2 linked regions of the Danio rerio genome follow. The protein of the gene in region 1 interacts with the protein of each later gene in a pairwise test. Links are inferred from orthologs where the notes say so. Each region holds a gene or a part of one and is shown on either strand. Other genes may lie near its edges. The genes, in order: suv39h1b and cbx5.

The links.
Region 2: the proteins of suv39h1b (region 1) and cbx5 interact in binary tests that used the Homo sapiens proteins (3 or more experiments, as listed by UniProt). The link is inferred for Danio rerio from reciprocal best matches to the Homo sapiens genes SUV39H1 and CBX5.

The regions. Positions count from the first base shown.
Region 1 is NC_133183.1:27,656,459-27,660,849, forward strand, and holds the start of suv39h1b (histone-lysine N-methyltransferase SUV39H1b), read right to left. Parts: upstream 2,882-4,391; 5' UTR 2,472-2,881; coding exon 2,453-2,471; intron 944-2,452; coding exon 762-943; exon of another isoform or gene 1-761. Other genes in the region: proton-transporting V-type ATPase complex assembly regulator TMEM9 isoform 1 precursor, read left to right, coding at 3,275-3,388, 4,037-4,128. UniProt on the Homo sapiens protein: Histone methyltransferase that specifically trimethylates 'Lys-9' of histone H3 using monomethylated H3 'Lys-9' as substrate. Also weakly methylates histone H1 (in vitro).
Region 2 is NC_133198.1:39,405,844-39,408,692, reverse strand, and holds part of cbx5 (chromobox protein homolog 5), read left to right. Parts: intron 1-1,415; coding exon 1,416-1,647; intron 1,648-1,841; coding exon 1,842-1,942; intron 1,943-2,849. UniProt on the Homo sapiens protein: Component of heterochromatin that recognizes and binds histone H3 tails methylated at 'Lys-9' (H3K9me), leading to epigenetic repression. In contrast, it is excluded from chromatin when 'Tyr-41' of histone H3 is phosphorylated (H3Y41ph).

The sequences.
Region 1 (4,391 bases):
ATTTAAGGTTTTATAAATAAGTAAAAAGATCAGCCTTTTAATAGCACTTCTATGTGGTTTTCCATCAAAATAAATGTTCTATAATACGAAAGTTTGCTGTTGTTAAATACAACAATTACTATTATTACAGAATCATCTAGTTTAACAGTATTATCAGTGTTAAGAATAATTACAGTGACATTTGTTTTAGGAATACTTTATTAAATGTTATTTATATTGCAAAATATTAGTTTTAAGCTCTTATTTATTATATATGTTTGCATATAATAAAAGTATATTTTAAAAAAAATTACATTTGTTATTACTAGTATATGAATAGCAGTTCCGAATAGGGCTGGGCCAATAAATGATATTAAATCGAATCGCTCCAATCACAGCAGAAATGTGCAACAACAGAAATCTAGAACTTTGTTGATATTAGACATGCAGCAAATTTTTGCCCACCGACAATTCATCAGCTGAATTTATGTTATGCCATTTAAAGTACCCTCTAATTTTTGTGGCTTCAGTCATTGTTGGGCTACTCTTTTAAATCTGGATGCATTAACAACTTACATAGAAATGTATATCGTTACGGTTCAATATAGAAAACAATTATCAAGACTGCATTTTTGCCATATAGCCCAGCCCTTGTTCCGAATGCCAGTTCCTCCTATTGTAAATCTGAAATCCTTTCTCAATTGTTATGTAGGATAAAAAAAATTGAAACTTGGATTTCAAATAAAACCTAATGCTTTACAAATGTGTTGTTTTCTGCTCACCTGTACTGTTTGCCTCTTCCCATCTGTGATAACTTTTCTTTTGTAGTCACACAAATATTCCACTTCATAATCACACAGGTTGTTCCTGCTGATGCCGAGCTCTTCGCACACCACTCCCTCATCTCGACAGACCACCTCCAGCTGCTCTGTCGTAGCAATGCATGCTACCCTGCAAACTTGAGCTATAAAACATGATTACATGTCAATTTTAGAAAAAAAAAGAGGTAAAAACGTGGGTAAAATCTAGATTACAGATGCGGACACGCACATCAATATAGCTTCATTTTTGTGACACTGTACAAGAATATTTATACAGTACTGTGATGATTGGGTTTAGGGTTGGAGTAGACGTTATAAGATACAATTTATTGGGTAATTTAATAAATTACATGTTTAATACTCAGTACAACTACTGTTTTTACATAAAAGTGATGGTTGGGTTCAGGGTTTGGGTAGGAGTAGATGGTAATAAAATGCAATTAATGGGAAATTATATGAATAATAAATACAATTTTTTTAACTTTTGGCTGCAACCATATCCGATCTAGCAACAACCGTAAAATTGGTGATGACAGATGTGTGCACGCTAGTAAACACGGCTAAGCTGTTGCTAACATACATGTAAACTAAAACTTTGCAGAAAGAAACATGTCAAAATAAATAGCATGTGAAAATAATATTATTGGTTAACATGCATACACACACACACATGACAAAATATAATTTTCTTTAAAAAAAAATTTTATGAAACAACCGTAATCACTACTTTGTACATATTTTGTTATGTTACTTAAACTATTAAGTTGTTTTGAAATAATATTACAAAAATGTATTGTAATGTACTGTGTATTTGTAAATGTATTTAATTAATTAAAAGTGAAATAGTCTTCAAATAATATTATGTAGCTAATAACATGGACTACAAACATTTTCAAGATATTTGATCATAAAACTCTAAAAACCAACAACAAACCAAAGCCAATTAAACCAACTTACAATATTGTCATGTTATCAAAGTAATAGCAACATTAAAACTTCTTATCAAAATATATTGTGAGAATAGACTCCCTAACAAGATAGTGATTATAGTTTCTCGTATAACTTTAATAAAATATATAACGTTAGATCTACAAAAACAATACAAAAGAGTAATGTACAGATCTGCTTCCTTCATGCTTTATGGAATAACGTTACATTAGTAAGTTAATCTTTACAGGGCTGGTCGCGAGCATCTTCGCTAACCAATGGGCCATTTAAACACTTTAACAAAGCTAAACTAAGAGTATTCACAGGCTGAATTGGTATTTTAGTGTATTCATTTGCTTTTAAATATGAATTACTTAGCAAAGGAAAATAAAAACGTTAGCTAAACACCGAAAAGTATGCTAAAACTGCGCATATGCGAGATATGTAACATTGTACAACTTAACAAAACTTCAGAAAACAATCTGGACAGGGGAACAAGCGATTGTCGAAGAGTTTGTTAAACGTGTTTCAGGAGCGCGCGCTGGCCATAACACCGACCTACCGTGAATTTGTATCAGCAACTTGCAGCAAATAATGTTTTAAAACTCGGGGCTTATTTCCGGGTTACCTCCGAGAAAACATGTCGTTTAACCAACTCGGGCTATAGATCAGACTTATATTGAATAAACTGTTGTTTGTGAACGATTAACACGGCATATTCTTACCTTTCAAATTTTCCGCCATCGTCTCACGCCGCCAAAACTATGGAACTAAAGGCTGCTCGGTGGTTGGATGCGCCCCGTCTGAGTGACGGGTTGAGCAACCAATAGTGGCAGAGTATTTAAATCGGGAAGAGTTTATGCAAAATGCCACATTCGTTAAATGTGTGAACTTTGAGGAAAAATAGATCTTAATTTGACTGATTTTACAGGCAGATATGGATAATATTTTGAAGACACTAACGTTAGTTATCTGTGAGATGCTTTCCATTTAACGGTTACCCATTTAATTACTCTAGAATGGTTAATTTTTGGTGTCCAGGCGAGACAAAAAAGTCAATACGATTTTTTGAACTAAGGCTTTAATTTCATAATCTAACATCTAGGAAACAAAAAGGCTGTTTACGTCACTCAAAGTAAAAACGGAGATGTGCTGTAAAGTCTTTTATTTTGCTTTTCGCCGGTTATGAAGGCGGCATAGATCTATCTATGCGAAGGCGGGACATGTAGAGTGTCATCGTCACGTGACAGTGTGACGTAAACATTCATGAACTTCCGGGAAAAGTCAACAAATGCGTTGATGTAAATACTGTCTGTATGTTTGTGCGTTTAGTTTTGCATTTCTGCGTGTAACATTTTATGTATTTGTACCTCCTTATGTAATTTTATTTCCTCTAAAATACGCAATATAGACAGGAGAAGGCCTAAACGGCGAAACCGGTTGTCTGCCAGCCTCTTATTAATGCGGCATAGACCATTTACTAACTGATTATAAGTACATTGTTTACAGTACAACCATCACCTTTAGCTAAACGACAAATAATTTAAATGTATTATTTTACAGGCGTCATGTCCTTCATTGCACAAAGTCTCCGGACACCAGTAATTTTCCTGGCGTTTCTTGTTCTCATAGAAGTGGTGTCGTTTGCTTCTGCAGATAAGGTACAGTTTTACTGGCTTATTTTCACCTGTATTCTTATGTTTTAAAACCTCTATATGTAAATAAACGTGAAAAAAGGCAACATTTCGAATGTTACCAGGTTTTGACATGTTATTAATGCAATTAGCATTTTTCATTCATTTTCCTTCGGCTTAAGTCCCTTATTTATCAGGGGTCCCCACAGCGGAATGAACCGCCAACTTATCCAGTAGATGTTTTACACAGCAGAAGCCCTTCCAGCTGCAACCCAGTACTGGATTAGCACTTAGCATTTTTTTATAACAAAAAAAAACTAAAACTAAATCTTTGGAGTATTAACCTATACAAACTACTCCAGAAAAGAAACCTTAATAGTTTGTCAATAGGTTTACATTTGCACGTTAATCAGCAAAATTGTGTAAAAGATGTCTGAGATATGGAGGAAGGACTTACTGAGGTTGATGATATGATTTAACAAAAGTTTTTTTGACCCCCTATATTTATACTAATGTGCTTTATATACCTATCCTAAAAATAAATAAATGAGCATAACTCTAACATGAATTGTGTATAATTTAAAAAAAGTTCAAATTCCTTGCTAAATACTGTGCCTTTCTTCATTTTAGAGAAATCATTTGTCTCTTTCTGAAAATAATATGTTGCTTTCACAGAGTTTTGAAGATGTGCGTTGCAAGTGCATCTGTCCACCTTACAGAAACATCACTGGACATATATACAAAAAGAATGTGACCCAGAAAGACTGGTAAGACTCTAGACCAGGGGTGCCCAAACTTTTTCTTATGAAGGGCCAAAAACCAAACTTGATTGAGGGTGGTGGGCCGAAGCTAAATATACCAAACTGTATTACGTTAAAGTTGTCATAGAAACTTTTTAATTTAATAATATTTTAAAATATATAGAAATTTTTTATTTATCATATAATCATCATATATCATATAAATATAATGCATTTTATAATGTACTACCTACAATAAAACTATAAACAGTCTAATTTATAGCACAATG
Region 2 (2,849 bases), on another chromosome or scaffold:
GCTCATTGCATTTTGCATAATCCAGTACTGTCTGAGCGATAGTTTTCATGTCTCAGGACCCCTGGTATGTGTTTCAGCATGTCTTAAAATGCATGAAAAGAGACTCAGTTCAGATACAATGAAAATGCTCTTAATTTAAATACTAATGATCTGGCTTACTTACTGGGGTTTGCTTGCAGTTAGACGGGGCATCATGGAAAAAATAAAATGCATTTTCTTTTAGTTTTTTCCAAATATTTTTGACCAGTTGTAATATTCAGATTTAAAAATGTACCTGTTCAAAGAAAAAGTGGTGTAACTGTAAAACTTGTTAAATATCTTAGCAGAAAAAACTAATGCTTATTTGAATGCAAAAGCTACTCTACAAAAAATAAAGTGAAGAAAATAGTAAATGTTTCTTAGCCAGAAAGTGAATGTTCATTGTGTGAGATACATGCAAAAATTCAAGGCAATTTACATTCAAAATCATAAAAAATGATTCACTGTCACAATAAATAGGGATGTCCAGATCCGATCACATGACCAAAATTCAGGCCCAGACGTGCGCTTTCAGAATCGGACGTTAACTTCTGATCAGGACTCGAATAAATAAATATATATATATATATATATATATATATATATATATATATGTGTGTGTGTGTGTGTGTGTGTGTGTGTGTGTGTGTGTATATATATATATATATATATATATATATATATATATATATATATATATATATATATATATATATATATATATATATATATATATATATATATAGCAGTGGCACAGAGTTAGACCACTTTCATTTGGTCAAATGCCAGCAAAGTAAAACATGAAAGCAGCGTAAATCGTGAGTATATCTGTGATTTGGAGGTATTATAAATTTTATGACGACAACATTGCTATAGCAAACGGAGTTGTTAAAATAAGGTGATTTAATTAAAGTATAAGGAACATCCTGGATCTGTTTCTTAGCTCTTCTTTATTCTTTTTGTTTGTGTTTTAGAAGTATCGGATTGGTTTTCAGTATCGGTAGATTCTCAAGATCAAATGACTGACTCGAGGGCAAAAAAGCTGATCGGGACATCCCTAACAATAAACATAAAAAATTAAACGTGAAAAGTTTGTTACAGGTTTATGAAAAAAGATGTTCCAAAGCAGCATTTTGTGTCAGTAGCCTATTAAAAGTCAAGAGATTTTGTGCCCAAATTATTATTTTTTTTATAACTCTTTATTGGCTTATTGTCACAGTATCTAATTGTTAGGTTTGCTTATTTGTGTTTGAACATCTTCCTTGAATTTAGAAATCATAGAATTATGGCAAAATATTACATAAAACTTCACATGAACGTTTAGCCTGTATTAGTTTGCACCCTTGATTTGAAGAAATCCAGTGGCTTTAATAGATCATGCATTTATTGTCTTGCAGGAAACACAACACATGGGAACCAGAGAAGAACCTGGACTGTCCAGAGCTCATCTCTGAGTTCATGAAGACCTACAAAAAAGGAAACAGTGCAAGCCCACCAAGCAGCAAGTCCTCCAGTACAGGCCCCTCTTCAGCCCGTCCCAAAGACAGCAGTGGCAGCAGCAGCACCAGCAAGAGGAAAAACTCTGAGGAAGAGAACGGGAGCAGCAGCAAACCCAAGAAGAAAAAGGAGGTAAAGTATTTACAGAGAGTGTGAGAGAGCTCACACTTTAGAGTTATTTGCATGCTATTACCATATCAATTACGTCCAGTGTGCTGAAATACTTTCTCAATTGTTTCTCACATCAATACTTGCCTAAGTGGCATTGGGAAAGGGTGACTATTGATTTTTAACGTGGTTTTGATTGTTGTTTTTGTTTTTCTTAGGATGAGATCCTTGTAGCGAGAGGGTTTGAGCGAGGCCTGGAGCCTGAGAAGATTATTGGAGCAACAGACTCCTGTGGAGACCTTATGTTCCTTATGAAGTGGTGAGTACTACAGAGTATTGCATGTGAAAAGCTGTTTATTTCAGTGAAACTGTTTTGCTCAGTGCTTGGAAACAGTTAATATCAAGTCACAAAATCTGGCCATAGATTTATTAAAGCGATAGTTTACACAACAAATTTTACTCACCATTTACTTAGCCTCGGGTGATTGCAATGCTTATAGTTTCTGTTTTTTTCTGTTAAACATACTACTAAGATACTACTAACAAATCAGGGACTAAGCCGAAAGAAAGTGAATGAGAGAACAAAATATATTTCGAAGAAAAAAACTGGTAAACATTGGCATCCATAGTAAGAAAAACAAAGAATAAACAACTCGAACAGGTTTTGACAAAGTGGAGGTTGAGTAAAATGATGCTGGGATATTCATTTTTAGATGAGCCGTCTCTTTAAAATCTAAAATCAAGGCCTCTTTTTTTTCAAAACAGCTTTTAGACTAAAAATTAAGTACTCCGATTTTATTTGGATCCAAGCACATGGGGACCTCAAGATACATGCTAATGATAAAAATAAGGCAGGCTGTGTTTAGCTGGACAATTTTGATTGAATCACCTGAAGTGGAGGTTGAAACCATAGTGTTAATCGCCACATTTACACCTGCCATTATGTCTGGAAATTATTCTAATGTCCCTTTTTAAAAAGCACATTCACACCCTTTGTGTGACTGAATAGGATGGAGGATGAGGATGGAACTGTTCATTTCTCTCCTTTCTCCAACTATTTACAGTTGTATGTTTGAAAGCGTTCAATGGAGTGTACACTCTGCATTTATTTGTTTACCTTATTTACAGTTTACATCTGTTTTTAAGTAATTGCATTTCTTGATTAGTAAACCAACTTTAAGGTTGTATTTAGCTTAGCAAACAATTTATGCTGGATTTTCTGTATA